Linked DNA regions of Styela clava. The protein of the gene in region 2 purifies or fractionates together with the protein of the main gene of each other region. This does not show direct contact. Links are inferred from orthologs where the notes say so. Each region holds a gene or a part of one and is shown on either strand. Other genes may lie near its edges.

Region 1 (10,666 bases), on a different chromosome or scaffold from region 2:
ACCACAGAATCGGATTTCAGTCAGATGATAATAGGTTTGAGACATTTCATTTGGATGACCTGAACATTTCTTTACTAGAATATATCTTGAATAAATTCACCCCCTCACCTTTCTAAACAGTGTAGTTTTATTCCCCAACTTTTTAAAAGCTGGTAAATTTTTTGGTTCACCCCCCGTTGCGATTAAACACTTCTCGTATTTGATCTCCGTTCCATCGTCCAGCGTCACCGAACTGTGTTTCGGACTTATTTTTGTCACCTGAAGAAAACGAGCCAATAGTTAGTACAACATTTTCGATTATAACATTTTATTATAAAAGAGTCAAATTTCATTCTATATTAAATCAATGAAGCACTACTTTGCAGCATATATACTGATATTGGATAGGGATATCAGAGTATCAGATAAGAATAGGAACACACCATAGAAATTTTTCTCAGCTTGAAATGCTTTTTAGACCTTCAAGACAAGACTATCGAAACCCACAATTTCGTCCTCCGGACAGATCTGCTAGCTGTTACGGTCCAGCTTGACAGCTAGAGATTCTAGACACACCCTTTGAAAATTCCTGGCTGCAACACGTAAGCAAGCCCAAATAAACAATGATTTCATTGGATTTCTATTTTTTAGTTTTTAGAATAGAATTCTATTCCTCAAATCAAGAATCTCCTTGGCTGAATATCAACTCATTTTATTCCACTTGTTTAAGACAGATCTGGGTAGTGGGTATCATATTCAATGAATTTAAAAAACTGTGGATAATGAGGTTACTGCATTTTCAGCAAAATAGCACAGAGTTGAATAAATGACAAAAATTTCTATTCTCTACCAACAAACACAAAACTCATATGACTAATTGAATAAATAGTGCACCTTCTTTCCTCTTAAAAGAGCAACACCACCGGAGGTCAGTGTTGGTAATTTCGAGGGCTTGACATAGAAGTCCTCCTCCTCATAGAATAGATTCCTCCATTTTCCGTTCCACTGTTTGAATTGCAATTCCTTCGCGGCCTCTTTATCATCGGAAAACCACAATTCTTTTGAAAGTGGTGGGCGCATGTAGGGTCGCATCTCTTCCTCCGTTATTATGAGAATCTGAGTAAAATTGTAGAAAACAGTGTTTTTCAAACATTTTTCATGACTTTACTCCTATCATGGCAGGAAGAGAACATAAATTGAACAAGATACAAAATTTGACCAGAAAGCTGTTTTGTCGAAGATAAATAAAGCACAACCGGTGTTAGCAAAACGATATAATTTGCCAACGTTTCAAATTTCTATTTAGAACACTTCATCAGGTCCTAATGACGGCTACGTTCTGATAAGAAATTTGAAACGCCTGCAAATTCATCGTTTTGCTAACACCGGTTGCGCTTTATTTATCTTCGACATGAATATACCTGATGGCTATCATGCGCTAAGAAAACCGTTTTGTTATAAACAAGCCTTTGCTCGAGCTGCCAGGGATAGACAGGAAGCTATCACCTTTAATTAAGTCCATAATCATTCGGGTCTGGCATTGCCTTTCCAATTTTATTAGGCTGTGAGTGAAGCCTGCAGTGCAAACTTAATTACATCTGGGCCATGTTAGTGTGATGTAAAAAGTTACATTTTGTGAACAGAATGTGTAAGCTATGAACAAAGAAGAACATTAAAAGAGTGTTATAGGGGCTTTAACAAAACTTTGTCAGCACTAAATTGAAACTTAAGGATGCGCATAGCCGCACACGACAACTAGGTAGTGCATGCAAGACTTGTTGAAAGCAGAAATTCATGGCAGCATCAGGCGGGCCAGCCACCTAACAGGCCGCATTTGATCCAAAGACCGTAGTTTTCATATGCCAGCTCTAACCACTAATCCATCGCTCTTTGCACACCCAGTCGAGAGTACTTTGCGGCCCACAAGTTCAAATCCTGAAGAAGTTTCCGGCACCGCTATAACCCTATATAATTTTGTCAGTGATTGCGTGTGACTTTGCTTTGTGTATATGACAATGACAACACCCACTACTATAGATCCCAGAACAGTAGCAAGAGTATCTGCTTTTTTTGAGTCAGAACAAACATCATTGAACAGGTACTCCCGTAGCCGTAGAATGCGAACCAAGATGGCGGACACCGGAACGTAGTATGTGGTCCAGGTAAGGGTATTGCCTAAACCTAAATGTTATTCTAATTTTCTATATCTTAGTTCTATTAATACGAGTTCAGGGACTTGCCAAGTGACTCCCGTAGTATGCGTACCTGGAATTATGGCCTAACTCTAACATGGTACACGTACTACGTTCCGATGTCTGCCATCTTGGTTCGCATACAACAGGAGTACCATTGTACATACCTTTGCAGTTGGATCTCTCTTCTTAATCGCCCTCATGGCTGAGTGTGATGCTGTTCCTCCTCCGATTAATAAATATTGTGTTGATTCTGGAATCTCTGGAAGAACAGGCTCTGGATAAAAGTTAGGATATTATTTTCAAAATTTCAAACGACCCAGTTTTGGGTCGCGACTTATAAGTTGCAAAACACTGATAATCCAGGGGCGTTTGATCTAGGAAAATAGAGAATTAGAAGGATGTTATGAGCCTGAGTTTGGCATATATCAATCCAGGACATAGAAGTCGGGGAAAAATTTACAGTAGAATCCCAACGTTGAACGGTCAACGTTGAAATAACTCTGCGTTGGAATTGGACACCTGACTGTGTAGCCGTACCATGAAGTTTAATATTATCCTGGATACAGCAATAAGGAGTTTATTATGCACTCCAGGGTCAGCCTATTCAATTTGGTATAAATCAGAGCCTCTCAAACTGGGGGTCGCGCAATCAATTTTAGGGATCGCAAAAAGTTTACCAATTTCACATAGAGTCAATATCTATTTTAATTTTGATTCGAAACACAATTATTAAAAATAGTGCAAAACATAATTATCACGATTTCGGGAGAATACATAGGATCGGAGAAGAGGCACGCAGCCTACACAACAATGCCAACGTAACAGAGTAGGCAGAATATTTTAATATATTAGAAGGGGTCACGAGCTTGAAAATTTGCGAAGCCCTGATCTAAATAACTTAATTATATTTTGGTATATCTGGGAATTCACCTTCTTCAGTTTGGGCTTCTTCATCATCTTCTTGTTTTTCTGCAGCTTTAGCTTCACTGGAACATTGGAAAGCAGCCTGTAATGTAAAGTATGCTATCTGTTACCAGCATAAGATAATTCTCTATTTTAATTACATTCCAAAACAGTGGTTTCCAAAGTTGAATGATCGGGGCCGAAATTAGAAGCGAAAGGATATTCGCGGCCCGCAGAGGTTCTGGTATATATAATTTAGATATCGGTAAAATCGAATTGTTACAAATATACATGTAATTAAACTGTGATAATGACATAACAATTTGTGGTATTACGAAAACAAAAAGGAAAAAACAAGTGTTAAACCATTTCACTTAAATTCGTCAGACCGTAATGAATCGTTACGCGGGCCATGATTGGCCCATGGGCTGCGGTTTGGGAACCTCTGTTATAAAAGGGCATGTTTGAATTTATAATATATCGAATATATTCTGAATTGGTTCACGTAATCACGTTTAACAGAAACATATAAAATGGGCAGTGATTTGACTGCTCCGCTGTTTTTAATTTTCAGAACAAAGTAAATAGAGGCTCTCAATAATAGCGCGAGATTTCAAAAGCTCAAAAAGGCAATTCAATTCTCAAATGAAGTTATTCCAAAATCAAAATGTAGAATTATGAATACCGAATATAAATAATCTCGAATAGAAATTGGAATGATTCAGGTAACTCTGAACCAGTGGTTCCCAAACCACGGCCAGTGGGTCAATTACGTCTCGTGGTAGATCCAATATGGCCCGTCGAACTTAAGTTAAACACTTCATATGTTTTTTACATTTTGGTGTTTTAGATACCGGCAACCGTTAGATCATTATCCCAGTTTAAGCGCCTTGTTCCCCTTGCAGGCGCTTCCCTCTCCTGGCACGCTAAGATCCTTCTGCTTCTAATTCAGACCCCCGGCCTAGCGACTTCGAGAACCATTGTTCCAATTTCTATTAGCTCTTTACACAGAGCCTTGTTCAGAGTAATCCTATGCACTTTGTGCTCATGACCTAGTTTTTAATCTATAAAAATCCACTTACAGCTCCAAAAAATATCATTCCAGTCCCGATACATAGTAGCGAGCCGATATGAGCCGGAAGATCTAATGAACGATGGGAGTAAAGCTGTAGACGATTTGCCGGCTCTTTCCGAGTGAATCTGTATGTTCTGGAAACTGAAAAAATGAAATAGTCTTTAAGACAGTGTTCCCAACTGTGTAGAAATCAGTGTTTCAATAATGGGGGAGGGGAATGAGGGTTGAAACCTCACCTCTTGAATGTAAAAAAAGGCATTTTTCTGTATCTTACATAACAATTTTTCATAGTTTGAAACGCTTTTCAGACCCTCAAGAGAGTTGGGCCTGCTGGCTGTTACAATCTATTTCAGAACCCTGCTTTGAAAATTCCTGGGCCCTCTGTTTCCCCATCAGTGGTCTCATTTTTCTGGTCTAAAATAATACGAGACACAAGAATCATGCGCAGTGGGGCGTTCCCAACCATGCATCGCGAGAAAACTTTTGAATGTGTCCCAGCCTGCCAGGGCTTGGACCTAAAAAATGATCAAATCTGGTAAAATCAACAAATTATGCATTTATAAAATATGGATATTTGTGCAAAGGATTTAATGACCAAATCAATTGGAATTACTGCTAAAATTAATTTGCAAATATGACAAAATGTGCGAAATCTACAATCATACATAAATAATATAAATTTTATGAACAACCATTTGCTTTCACCCTGGAGTTGTTTTGAAATGGCTTGGACTTGACGCAGCATAAAAATATTCTCAATGTCTGCTTCAGCTATGCTTAAATTGTGACACCTAATCCCAAAACACTTTAAAACCAAAAACGAACTACTTACATATATTTTGTGATGTTTCCTCATTTTTCTTTAAATTTCTGACGAAAATTCGTGCTTGATTGCACGTCCTACCACATCTATACATGATTGGAAGTTAATTGTCTGCAAAAAATATTTTAAATGCAAAGTTAGATCAAAGTTAGGTTTGAGTCATTTTATTTAGGCGACTCGAGTCACTTCGGCAAAGTTCAATAAATTAACGGCCTTTTTTGTTGGATTTTGAAAGATTAGTACAATATTGCAAAATCCAATATTATTCAATAAGTAAAAGTAATGACAGAATGACAGTAAAGTACGGTGCATATTGCAGTTTCAGTCTAATTCAGTGATTACAGAATTAGAATTAGGTATATTACAAGAATTCTACATTTTTTACTGCCTGTGGTGACATTCAGATATGACTATACCGTACCGGTATAATTTCATTCTCTGCCACTGGCGGCATGATAGCGCTATGAATGTTCCAAGACCATGCATCTACTGTACTAATAACTGGAACTAATATGTACCGGTAGTAGTAGTATTTTATTTCGTCAACAATGTCGAATAGTTTACATGCAACATGGTCACCCATTGCAGTATTGCCATACAGCCGTAGCATAGGCCACCAGGCAACATCAACACGTACTCTGCTAATCTGGCAAGAGATTCGTAATATGAGCACACCGTCCTATCGTCTTTCCTCTCTACGAGGATAAATAAAATAAAAATCCTATCTTATTGATGCAAATTTGATTTCGTAATCTCGCATTAGAAACACCGCAGCGCACATTTGGCAACTTTCATTTGACCCCTGAGATGTGTCGGAAGCGTGGGGGTCAAAGTGAGTCGTGTTGCGTAATGAAATAAATCGATAATTTTCAGATCTTCCGACAGTTTCTAAGCCTTCTCATTTGTTTAAATGCATTTTGAATAATATTTTATAGATTTTTACATCGATTTTTCAACGGATAATGACAGATTAGTCGAATAATATGACGTAATATGTCCGTGGCCGAACGACGAGTGCAGGGAGTCCATATTACATCATACGACTTTAGTGGATTTGAATTGTGGACGGTATTTACAACATATATGTATTTTCAAACAATTGAAGTTGTTGTACAATTGTTGTTTATTTTGAGTGAAAGAAAAGCCCATAAAGCGACTCAATCGAATGGCGAAACGCGGCCCTCACAAGTTAATGTTTTGACAACACATAATTGGTTAGCAAATCCCATACCCGACATGGACTGGTAAACGGACGAGAGGCCGTGGTTAGCAATATGATTAAGCCGACCCATCGGCTTTCCTCTCGCCAGGATAACTATGTAAATTCTATCTTAACATAGTGAACAACAGAAAGCATGATAAAATAAGCAAATAATCGGTTTTGCGGCTCGGATTGGTGTCATACGCACCGATTGCTCACCATTGAGAGCGAGATTAATTATAGGACTCTAAATTCCGCAATGGAAAACTGTCACCTGTGGTCCAGTAAATTTAAAAGATCTAATTACCCATTTCTAGTTGAAGTCATTGTATAAGCTTGACCAGATCTGGATAATGAGTGGAAGGCATTCGCAAAAGTGTGTCCGTGAAATACAGGTCACAACTGCGTCGCTATAACATGGAAATAATTGTGTTGTGATAGTAGGAATTACATTACCCTAAAACAAGGTTTCCCAAACTGGTGTCCGTGGACCCCTGGGGATCCGTGATGACTGCACAGGGGGCCCGCAACGATTTAAAAAGATACGGATCGAACTTTAATGATTGATTTCAATCAAAATGTCATTGTATCTTTCTAATTTATCGTTGTGGACGATTATTTCTTGCTGCGCTTTGCAACGACCTGCATGTGCGAGACATCATTCTCAGCTCTTACCAATACGATAGCAAACTACAGATTCTAGACTTGCCATAGAGTCGGACCTAGTTTGTGTGCCACAAATTACTCCGAAAATTGTGCAGAGAAAAGCAACCTCATCCATCATATGTCGTTTGTATCGTGTTGTAAATAGAACATTGTCCTTCCTCGCTGGTTAGGAACAGAAATTGATACGGTATAAGGTGTGGGTCCGTCAAAACTAAGATTGATAAATAGGGGTCCGCGGTGTAAAAGTTTGGAAAACACTGCTCTAAAAACTAAAAAAACAGCACAACTTCTGCTGCTCCTGCTATTTAAAGTGTCGGGTTGCAGTTTTAAATATATATATATATATTTAATCCGGAATCTTGCGTCTTCTGATCTAAAAAAAACCTTGGGATACAAATGTTTACTTCGGAAACGTAAATTCCGTTTTTTTTTTATGTTTCAGTTAAATTATTACTTCTCATTTTTCCTAGTTTTATTGCTTGATAAGGTTATTTCACAGGATGTGTTTTGACCTTGTTGAGCATGAATTGTTTGAACATGGCGGGTTGTGGAATATATCAATCAAAATTAACACTATGAATACCTCTGGAATGATAAAAAGGGGGTCAAAGGTTGGAAACTACTGGTCAAGGACACTAATCCGCCATTTCCCATCTAAATCTGAGAGTCTACATTGATTTTGTTTAAATATATTGTTTAAACTAAACATATTGTTTAAATTTATTGCAATATCTAATAGTTTCCACTAACATTAAATTTATTACAATTAAATAACCATTTTTGCTAGTATTAGTTTTGCGTTCATAATTATTCTTAGTTTATACAACTGAGACAGTAAAAGACAACTAAACTATCGCATACGGGTTCCTCGAGCTTCTGGAATGTTTCTGGTTCCGTTCCACCAAAAAGATTGGAACCACTGTCGAATGGCACAATGCATTCACGAGTATCGGCAAGATCGATATCGGCTAAGTGGATAACTGGGTTCCATTACATTTGAACCCACGTACATTTGAACCCGTAATTTGAACCCACGACAAGTGCACCTGCATGCTATTGCACCTATGAATTTTTTTTACGGATATTTAAATCCATACTAACCCTAACCCATGGGTTTTAGCACCCGAATATAGATTGAACCCGCGGATATACGGGTGCAAAAGTACGAGTTCAAATGTACGGTCACCGGATAACTGCAGTAGGATTTTCATTTATTCCCGATCAAAAGGGAAATTTAATACGGCGCAATAAATATGACGATACACGGCCTCTCGTCCGATTACCTGTCCACATCGGGTGTCGAAAGGGCCAACCTGCATATTTTTTCTTGTATATATTCATGTCAGAGGTGTGCAACTTTTACAGGCCGGCCAAATACGAATAACTGGGCAAACTGCGGGCCGCATCTCTATTTAACATGGGCTTTCTAGTGGTTACATGCATAAAAGTTGTCGAGCCAGCTGTTAGCGCTAAAATGAGCAAACTACGGCTCGCGGGTAAAATCCAGATCCAGACCAAATTGGGTAATTTGATCTGGCCCGCCTGATGCTGCCACAGCCAAACTAAAATCAACTTTTGATGTTTTAGCTGAAAAATAGTTCAGGGAATTTGTTGAGATTGCGTTCAGATTTAGTTTTGACACGAAGCTTATTGTTTTCCACTTTTGCTTTTGTAAATATTATTTATAAAATGTTACTTTTACGTCACACTTACATGGCCCGCCAGTCTAGGTGGGTCTGGTCCCTGGTCCAAAAACCTTGCCCACTCTTGTGTTAGAGCATTGAGCTTCATATGCATCAGGTATAGGCTTTGCAACGCCAAACGGATAGGAAGTTCTTACGCGTACCAGATTAAACCAAATTAAAAACTTGTTTCGCTGGCCGAACATCATTCGAAATTGCCACCTCTCTGCGGGCCGCACAATTTTCCTTTGTGGGCTGCAGGTTGCACACCCCTGATTTACGTTATTGATTTGGTTAGATTATTTTTTTGACAGTCGGTAGGCGACATGTCAAACCCGTCCGCATTGCGAGAAGGGTTGTTGACGCCAAATATATCTTCCAGACTATGGTATATAAATGACAATTTCTAAAGTGACAAGACCATGGTTAGCGATGTACACAACACTAGAGTATTCCCCAGCAACAAACTATCACAAAGCAAATAATTTTTCCGCGTGTAAATAAAATAATATTTACTTTCTCGGCGAGAGACTGTTCACGCCACACCATTGTTATCTCATAAGTTAAGATATGTGATTGTTTGTGACATCACAGAAACCATAACTCAGATAGTTCGCTGAGCGTTCACGCACAATAAGAAACATGTTTCATCAATAACTTACTAAAAAGAAAATTTTCTCGTGTCAGAATTACATTGTAAAATAATATCTTCTAGAAAAATTGAAGGATTCATCTCGACATTTGCCGTACAAAAGGAAAACAAGATGGCGGCGATTCGAAATTTTCGTCTCCACCGATTCGAATAATCTACTACCCGATTCGAATACGTTCATCAATTTGTTCAAAGGCTGGAAGGGAACATAGCGTATAATGTTCGATGGCCATTAAAACTTGTCATTGGGCTATTTTCCTGAGTCCTGTGAGGACGATATTTCACATGTTGTTGTTTTTATATTTCATGGGAACACCTAAATATGACATCTTGTTTACATTTTCCTATGGCATCTGTTACAATTCATTTAACATTTGCCCGGAATTTTGTTGGCATCCCGAAGTCATTTAATAATACACACTCGAGCATTGCTTGCAACGAGTTTGAAGAATACTGCTCTATAAGCGAACCGCACCAGTTTCCTTGTATGTTTCTTTTTTACTTTAGAGTGAGCATCCGTAACTTCACTCAGACATCAATCTCCTTTACTTCTGAGTGAGTGCGCGAGACTTTGCTTAGAGATGAATCTCCTTTCATACCCTGAGTGTCCGTAACAATGCTCAGAGATGAGTTTTCTTTACTTCTGAGTGCCAGTAACTTTGCTCAGAGATAAGACGTCATTACTTCTGAGTGAGTGCCCGTAACTTTGCCCAGAGATGAGTCTTTTTTACTCCTGAGTGTGTGCCTGTAACTTTGATTAGAGAAGAGTCTCTTTTACTTCTGAGTGAGTGCGCAAGAGAGAGTTCGCTCAGAGATGAGTCTTCTTTACTGCAGAGTGAGAATCTGTAACTATGCACAGAGATGAGTCTCTTTTATTTTTGAGTGAGTGCGCAACCCTGCTTTGATCAAATTTTGTGGAAAGCCTAATATCTATACCGGGGCCATACACGCTCTAAGAAATTCATCGCCCCAAACGAAAGTCGTAATTTGAAATTATAATCTGACCAACCGACGAGCGCGTCACGTATTACATTGTCTGCGACATAATGCGATAATAGGACGTAGGCACGTAGAGCAGGAAGATTACTATATTGTTTGAGAACTAAAGATAGTAATGCCTAAAAATGACTGATATGGCCACAGCAACAACACAATTCTTATTATTTTTTATTTGATTTGGTAATAATTGGGAAGTCACCCGGCTGTTAATCAATCATTTTGACCAGTGTATATATCATATATAAATATAATTTATATACAAGATGTCCATAAGTCCTATTTCAATCTCAGTTTTGTTATGAAGTCAGTTCTCATTATGTCTTAACCGGGTTTGTTGTTTTTGAATCAATAATTGTTTAAGTATTTGGGGCTCCCGAAGTATGCGAACCAAGATGGCGGACATCGGAATGTAATATGTGTACTAGGTTTAGGCCATAATTTTAGGTATAAATACTACGGGAATCTCTTGGCTAGTCTTCGAACTGATAATA
Region 2 (9,279 bases):
AAAATCGGCATGCGTGCTTTTTCTGTTCTGCGTGCTTTGCCTGCTTAATATGACCATCCATATAAAACGTAATGCATATCTTCTTTTTCAAACCAGAAAACAGTCAAGAACAGTATAATATTCCAGTAAGAGAGGAACTTGTTGAGACCCCACAGGCGACAGGTGGTCACGACACGCCCAAAAAAGCATGGGCCGCAGATATCTTTTCCAGACACAGTAGGATTTTGAGCCTGTTGCCAAGTTACCGACGACTTTGGCATTGTAATGCAAATTCATTTCGTTTGAGGCGTCGATCAACTGCAGAGGGATTTTTATGATGAACCCATTGCAAAAGAAAAGGCTTGATTAAAATGGCGATTCTACTTTACAGTCCCGATTAAAAAAGAATTACTTATCACAATTTTAGATATCTCTTGATAACGAATACTCATGGCCAAGTAATCGAGCAATCGAACTGTTGTCCGTCTTTTCAGCCAGTTACTGCGTTATGCGAAAAAAACATTATCATCACTAGATTCAATTACAACGAAGCAAAGAAATCGGCTGCACGCGGCTGCAGAGCTACGTGTTGCAAAAACTTCTTTGAGGCCTCGTTTGTAATCTTATATTGGAAACAAAACAGCAGCAAAATTCTCACAGGAGTTAATTGTGTTTGCTCATGATTTGGCGTGTACCTGTTTTTAATGTGAGATATTTTACGCGTACCTTTCTTACGCATAATGGGTGCCCAGCACTGCATTTCATTACGCAAATATATGGTATTATTTTATGTTTAACCCATTTTTAATTTTTGGTCGGCACATTATTTGATAGTTTTTCTCCGCAAGAAATGGTTTTAAGTGTGCCTTTTTGTCTAGAAGCATATTGAGTGCTCGCCCTAATCATAATGTATTCGTAACAGAAGGCCTACATACATTATTTGGTAATGACAATCACTGGTCTATCACTCAGTAATTTATTTCTTCACCATGCTGAAGAATTATAGGTTCCAATATGATGGGCATGAACATCAGCAATGAAATGTCTGAAACTTACATCCCTAAAAATTTGTTCAGTGCAACTTAGGCCTAAGTCACCTTTTTTTACTTTGCATCCCATACAAAAAATTTCAGAAGTTGTTGAGAACAGAATGGGCCTAAATCTCTTATGGAGGTAAAAAAGCAGAAAGAAATTGAAGCTGAAGTGCCAAAAAATATTGATTACAAAGATATTCTCATCCAAACTAAAATAACCAGAGCTCAGGACTTTACTAATTGTGAATATCTAGATATTCAAAAATAAAAAAATTCCAAATTGTTTTTTGCGTTTTTCTCAAAACTCAAAATTGTGACTTAGGCCTGTTCTGTTCTCATCCGGCGATATGTTATTTGATAAATAAATTTAAAAAAGCAGATATAAATAAAAAAAAAATTCTGGTAGTCTCTTACTTTGAGATCGTTGTTGTTGTTGAATATTTGAAAATGATGCCTGTGACATTTTTGGTTGCCGGTTACTTCCATTTGTATTTGAATTTTGTGGAGGGCCGATCAGCCTCCTTATACATCCACCCATGGTTGTTGTTCAATCCAATGTAAAATATCCCGACTTCAGAATATCGTACAAGTTTTCACATGTTATGGAAAGTTCAATTTTTAAAAGTAATATCCCGAAGCTAAATAAAACAGAACCAATATTATTGTCAGTACTACAATTCGAATACCTGAAAATTTGTTTATAAAAAATAGTCACTCGAAAAAACTGAAATTTGAATAATGTATTATCACAATATTGAATATTCCCTATTATCATCAAAATTTGCAAAATCAAGAGATAATCTGCATATATCGTACAAGCATTTCACTATATTAACTAGAACGTTTGAATAAACATTCAACAGAACAAATATGCATGTGAGCTTTATGGAAGTCCATATTTAAAAAGATTAATATTCAAGAATATTTTTTAGCAAATCATGATATAACATGCTCGATTAGACCGCATTGGGTAAAACTACAAATTTTACGAGAAACTGGTTGTAAAATATCAGAATGGGTGCTCAAGCCTAATTGCATTAATTTTGGGGCAAATTTAATAAGTAATACCGAAAAGTGCAAATAGAACATATTTATATAGGAAGAAATTCTAAGAAAGTAAATTCAATCCAGATTGGGCAACAAATTTTGACTTCATCATAAGCAAATTGTGTGACTATTCGTGTTTCTAATGAGTTCGGATAATTACTAAAAAAAGCAAAGATACATGATCTTGAAGAGATATGTTGACTGTATCGCAGAAAACTAATTTTTTTAAATCAGAACTGCAAAATAAATTATCAAACCCATTCCCGTTTATAAATACATTTATCAAACTTTGTTCAAAATCGGAATTCTGTATTCAACTATTTAAACCCAGGTAACATCTTCACTGAGTACATCTGTATTAAAAAATTAGCCTCAGATTACAATTTACAACACTACAAATATTAAAATTGACTACAAATTGTGCATTCCCGAATTCAAAATGATTTTTGGGATAATTTATCGCTATTGGATCAATTACAGGAAATCAAAACTATATTGAAAAGATTCTAAATATTCTTCTCTATCATCTCTCTCAGCTTGGCTTCACTTGCTCCCACAAGTTCATCAACTTTTTGACCATTCTTGAAAAACAGAAATGTAGGCATAGCACTTATTCCATGCTTTTCAGTAGTGTCTGAATTTTCGTCCACATCCACTTTTAGAAAAACAGCATTTTTGTATTCCCCACTCATTGCTGCAACTTTGGGACCAATCACTTTACACGGTCCGCACCAAGTCGCATAGAAGTCGACAACAACAAGTTTTTGACCAGCATCACAAAGTTGCTTATCGAAATCTTCTTTTGTATCACATTGTATTACAGACATCTTGTCAGCTGGGCTACTTGTGTTAACTAATCACTTTGATAAAAATACAGTGCAGTAAGATACATGAGGAAGGCAAGATAGTAAAAGGTAGCTACTTGTGTTAGCTGATTACCAGTACTTTAATACAAATACAGTGCAGTAAGATATAGGATAAAGGCAAAATAATAAAAGACAGTCTGCATATATCGCACAAGCATTCCACTATATTAACTGAACGAGGTAGGTTTATATAAACATTCAACAGAACGAATATGGCTGTGACCTCTGAAGGAAGTCTATATTTGAAAAAATTGATATTCAAGAATTTGGCCTGGTCCTTATTTCATTTTGACTAGTCCAAAAGCTCCAGTATAGATTAATTTTTTTAGCTTGTCACACAAGCCAGATTTGACCACAATCGTAAAACTTTGAATTTTTTTACAAATAAATTTGTAAGGATAGGTGAACAATTCAAACAGCATTATTTTCATAAAAAGTTTTAGCAAATTAATAGGTAAAATGAAAATGGAACTTATTTGTATAGAAAGTAATTTAGGGAAAAGTAAATTCATTTCAGATTATACTATAAATTTTGACTGCATAAATGCGCATAGTTAATAAGTGACTAATCGTGGGAATTCTAACTTGAAAGTTCAAATATAAAATGCAGTGTATTATGAAGAAATTTCAGGTAATTGAGTTTGGATAATTACTAAAAGAAGCAAAGATACATGATCTTGGAAAAACAAGTTGACTGTATCTCAGAAAACTACCGTAACTTTTTTACATCAGAAGTTAAATAAATAAATTATAAACTCATTCAAAAACTACACCAATAATTGAAATACAATCGTACATAATTCACTGTGAAAAAATATTATTGCTACATTTTTATAAGGACTTTATTAGGATTTAAAACTATGCAACAAAACCTTAGAAAAGGTACCATAAAAAAAGTGTTGACCCGAAATTATGAAAACTGATAGCAATAAAGAGTACCACGAAAATGAAAAATTTTATAAATCACATACCCTTAAAATAATAAAATTACCTTTTGAACATTGAATTTCAACTTCAACATACATACAACAAAGAAGAAGTAGGGTCTCGTGTAGTTTCGTACCTAACTTACTTCAAGTGGGCGTAGCATAACAATTTTTTGATATGTCAATCCTAACCCCCATCTGACTACAGCATCCAAAAATTACGTCACTACGACATCACAATTACGTCATAGGGCTTGCCAAATATACGTACAATCGCCTGAAATGGCATTGGCGCCGACGATAAAGAACTGACCGGCGTTATCGATCTTTCTCCTATCGTGATTGTGACGTCGCAGTGACGTAATTTTCTCTCGTTTTCTTGTCGCAACGATTCCAATAGGAGAGAGATCGATAACGCCAGTCAGTTCTTTATCGTCGGCGCCAATGCCATTTCGGGCGATTCTACGTATATTTGGCAAGCTCTATGACATAATTGTGATGTCGTAGTGACATAATTCTTGGATGACGTAGTCAGATGGGGGTTAAGATTGACGGGTCTCGTGTAGTTTTGTACCCCAAGTACAGAAGTACTTCTAGTGAGCGTAGCATAATGATTTTTGCAAATGTCAATTCTAACCCAGTACGGCACACTATACATATCGGGTGACATTGTCCCGTTTCAGAGAAACCCATTTTACAGATGATCAGACACCCCTCCTTTGGGGAGACGTCTGGACAAATGGCCAAACCAAATGACCAAATGGGAATTTTGATCATGTGACGGCTCCGATTAATTTAGATTATTATTGAGACAAGCACGGCATGATATGAAGCATCTGACGTGGTCCCAGAGGCCCCTCGTTTGTGAGACACATGAAGTGTTTGTTTTATTGAGCCAAATTCTTGGAATTTGGATAGTGTGCTGTACTGTAACCCCACCTGACTATGCCATCAAAAAATTACGGCACCATCACGCCATACTGTCATAGAGCTTGCCAAAGTACCTTTTTTTTTTTTTTTGCCAAATAAATTCCAATGCCAAACGGAATTTTCGTATTCTGTATGCCTACGATCGCCTGAAATGGCATCTGCGCCGACGATAAAGAACTCACTAACGGCAGCGATCTCTCTCATAAATCCACGTTTAGTACCACATATACTTCTAGTGGGCGTTGCTCAATTTTTTTTAATATGTCACTCCTGAACCCCCACCTGGCTACGGCATCCAAAAATTACGTCACTGCGACGTCACAATCACGAAATAGAGCTTGTCAAAGTATAACGACGTCACTCGTAATGGCGCCTGCGACTACGTTCATTTTTTTTTTTTTTTTTAATTTTTATGCTATTTTTTAGTTTTGCTCTATTTTTTTTTTCTTGACATAGAATAATTTTTTTTTTTATTATTAGTTTCCGAATTAGATCAAGATTTTTAATCATTTTTTTAGAATTTTGAATATCATGGTTTTAACCCTCTCCATGCGATTTTTATTTTTTATTAAATAATCGTATTTGCTACGCCGACTTTATGCATTTGTACCACTGAACTGGAAATATATGGAACGATCTTCTCTCTCGTTTTGCGTTGTCGCTGCGCGGGACAATTTGATCGCCGCCATCTTGGCACTTATGCTTCCAAACTTTCTTCCTGCTGGTAGGGTAGTTCGCTGGTTTTGGCTTGTTTTTCGTGTTTAAAAGCTGCTAGTTTCATAATTGGGTATTTACGTTCAAACTTCCCTAAGTATAGGTGGCTAGGTTAGTATTTGTCACTAGCTAGTTAGTATTTTTTTTTATATTTTAGGCTGACAGTACGATATAGTTACGGAATAGTTTAACTAAAGGTAGGTACGGTATGGCATTGCCAAAAAAATCTGAGGCGGAGAAAATGATTGGAAAAAGTAGCGGTATTGGTACTCAGTGCTCCGCATATGGTTGCAAAAAACGTTTTAAAAAGAAGGACTTTCGAAGTGATAGCGAGGGAGATGATGACGAGGAAAGTGTGCTGAAACGAAAATAAGGACATTTCATAAGTAAGAAAAATAGCCCAGCAGTTTGTGTTAACAATATCAGTTTTCAGTTGTCTGCCAGTGTGTGTCTTAGCAATTTGTTCATAGCCTGCTAAACATTGTAAAAGATAAAGCTAGTTTTATTATCATGATATACAGATATATGTTAGAGTAAATGCATACAGATACAGGTATAGCTGTCTCGGTACAGTATTGAGGCTCGTCTTCTGTAACTATAAGGTCAGAAGTCAGTTTGTAGTAAAGTTGTAATTTAGTCAAAGTTGTTGGAAAAATTGTATAAGCATTTAAATCATTTGGGCTGAAGGCGACAGCAAGTTTATAACATACAAAGTAGTCAACAATTTAGCGCATAAAACTATTATTGACTAGAAAAGAGCGTTTTTGACTATACAGATAGACTATGTTAAATCCAAATTCTGGTTCTGGCCTGCTTCAATTCAAGTAGCTCAAATCCGAATAAATTGTGCACTTACTGCATGAAATGATTATCAGTTCTTTTTTGCTCATACATAATTAACAATATTTTTCTCAGATTTCCTTTGAATAAGGCACTTTGCGAGAAGTGGGTAACTGCTTTGCGGAGGGCGAATTGGATTCCAACTAGTTCTTCACGTTTATGCTCTGACCATTTTAAAGAGAGCGATATTAAGAGAACCGGGCAACGCACAAGAATTAAGGACAATGCTGTTCCGACCCGATTCAAAGCATTTCCAAAATATTTAAGAAAGGTATGCATAAGATAAACAACAAATTGAATCCTCAATAACTTTAAATGTTGTACCCAGAGCGACAAAAAATCCTGTCACATATTTTAATGGGTGTTTTTTTCATATATCAGGCAATTAAGATCACTATAGCATGCAGATACCTAGTATTTTAGCTTATGGTAATAGACTTGATCTGTTATGTATTTTAATTTTTAGTTTATCGGAATAACTATATAAAATCATCTGTTTATGTGATGTGAGAGATTTTTTTTTACGACAAATGCCTTCTAAATTTTCAAAATTCTCGTTTTTTGCCACATGCTTCGGTTCAACGCATCTAAAGTGGGACATGCTCATGATCATCAAAATTTCTTGCAGGTCAACGAACAGCGAAAGTCACCGACAAAAAGAAAATTTCATTCATGTGTAAAGCAGAAGTGGTCAGTGCAGGAGAAATTTAACAATGTGCTCCATGACCACTCATATTCACAGGTCATTGCTTCACCTACAAAGTTAAAAAAATTAAATCTCAGCTTACAACATTTAAAAGCAGTAAGAAAACGACTCCGGCTTTGTCAAAAAAAAACATATCGATTGCAAAAACATGTAAAATCTCTTGAAACGGTGCTAAAGTCCCTGAGAAAGAAAAACTTGGTGAGTGCTTCATGTGAAGAAAGTCTACAGCGATCTATACTTTCATCAATCTTCAATAGAATTTTAATGAATTTACAAACTGGAAAAGGCGTCAAATATCTCAAGTGCGTAAAGTCTTAAATCTGGCTTTACCACATCCAAGCGTAATAAAAAAATGGTACCAGAAACTTCCAGCTGAGCCTGGTTTCACAAAAATTGCATTTGATGCGATCCGGCTGAAGGTGAGTGCTGCATCGCACTCATTGATTTGTGCTATGATGATTGATGAAATGGCAATTAGGAAACATGTTGCTTGGGATGGAGAAAGGTATCGGGGCTTTGTTGACCTGGGAAATGCTGAAAATCAGGATGATTCTGCTCCACTTGCCAAGGAAGCTCTTGTTTTGATGGCTGTTTGTGTGAATGGGTCCTGGAAAGTACCTTTGGGATATTTTCTCATTAATGGATTGACCGGAGAAGAAAGAGCAAACATCATAAAGATTGGGATTCAAAGATTGAGTGAAACTGGAGCCAAGGTGGTATCCTTAACTTGTGACGGGCCATCTTGTCATTTTTCAATGCTCTCTCATTTAGGAGTTGTTGCCTCGCATGTAAGCATGCAATCATATTTTACTCATCCTTCGTGCCCATCTGAGCGGATTTATGTTTTCATGGACGTTTGTCACATGCTTAAATTAGTCCGAAACACCCTTGCGGAGTGGGGTGTTTTGCGTGATGGCAATGGGAACAAAATTTTGTGGGAATATTTTGTGCAGTTGCAAAAACTCCAATCAACTGAAGGTCTTAGGCTTGCAAACAAGTTGAAGCAAAGACATATACACTGGTATCAACAAAAGATGAAAGTTGATATTGCTGCTCAAACCCTGAGCAGCAGTGTTGCAGATGCGATCGAATACTCTGATACGGTGCTGAAATTCAAGCAGTTTAGTGGAAGTCAAGCAACTGTAAAATTTATCAGAATTTTTGACCAGCTTTTTGATGTGCTAAATTCCAGAAATCTCTTCGCTAAACGATTTAAGGAGCCACTAAGACCTTCAAATAAGCATATTTGGGAACCATTCATGAATCAGGCATGTGCATACATTGCACAGTTGAAGGATTCTTCAGGAAGACCAATCTTGATGTCAAGAAAAAAAACTGGCTTTATTGGCTTTTTGTTATCTGTATCCAGTGCAAAAGGCGTGTTCAATGACTTGGTCACTTCAAAATATTTAAAATATCTTTTAATGTACAAATTTAGTCAAGATCATTTGGAACTCTTTTTCTGTGCTGTAAGAGGTGCTGGGGGATTCAATAATAATCCAACTGTGCAACAATTTGCTTCTGCCTATAAACGACTGCTTATGAGAAGTGGGGTAAAAGGCACAGGAGGGAACTGTGAGCCCCAGGATGCAACAAGCATTTTGAATGTTTTGGACAGCTTCAGTCTGACTAATCATAATATGAGTTTAAGCTCAGTATCTTTTATGAAGAAATATGACCTTGAACCACGGACTCCACTAACTTCTGACCATGACTATGCTGACATACCTAACACAATCAGGTTGTCAGAATACGAGCTTCAAATAATCAAATATATTGCAGGATTTGTTGCAAAGAGGCTGCGAGATACCATGTTTTGCATAAAATGCAAGGAGGCTCTCGTATCATCTACTGATCATACTTCAAGTTTAATATATTTTAAAAACCGTGGAGGATTAACAGTTCCGTCAGCAAGTGTTATAAAAGTTTGTAGAGAAACTGAAAAATGTTTTCAAAGAATATTAGCTACCTCTGGAGGTAGACTGCCCCAATCCACTGGGCTCATCAATGCTATCGTTATTGCAGTGCAAGATGGTTTAATCGATAAGCCTATTTTTCCCGACCTTGTAAACCACTGGCGCGATACAGGGTTTGGTGATTGCCATATTAGTTTGATGGTGAAGGCCATTATTAAAGCATATTGTGGCATAAGGGCCAAACATATGGCACGAGAGTTTAATGACCAAGCTTCTGCAGTTAATATAAGAAAAAAATTGTCAAAGTTAATTATATGTCAG

The links. Proteins that work in one complex are often made in the same cells at the same time.
Region 1: the proteins of thioredoxin-like (region 2) and apoptosis-inducing factor 1, mitochondrial-like purify together in Homo sapiens (affinity purification with mass spectrometry; 3 studies listed by BioGRID and IntAct, with this or other methods). This does not show direct contact. The link is inferred for Styela clava from reciprocal best matches to the Homo sapiens genes TXN and AIFM1.

What each region holds. Positions count from the first base shown.
Region 1 is NC_135263.1:617,054-627,719, reverse strand, and holds the start of apoptosis-inducing factor 1, mitochondrial-like, read right to left. Parts: upstream 5,100-10,666; 5' UTR 5,070-5,099; coding exon 4,985-5,069; intron 4,294-4,984; coding exon 4,160-4,293; intron 3,181-4,159; coding exon 3,105-3,180; intron 2,449-3,104; coding exon 2,339-2,448; intron 1,096-2,338; coding exon 874-1,095; intron 259-873; coding exon 109-258; intron 1-108. UniProt on the Homo sapiens protein: Functions both as NADH oxidoreductase and as regulator of apoptosis.
Region 2 is NC_135257.1:18,243,097-18,252,375, reverse strand, and holds thioredoxin-like, read right to left. Parts: upstream 2,958-9,279; 5' UTR 2,888-2,957; coding exon 2,567-2,887; 3' UTR 1,652-2,566; downstream 1-1,651. Other genes in the region: tyrosine-protein kinase Src42A-like, read right to left, coding at 1,428-1,551. UniProt on the Homo sapiens protein: Participates in various redox reactions through the reversible oxidation of its active center dithiol to a disulfide and catalyzes dithiol-disulfide exchange reactions.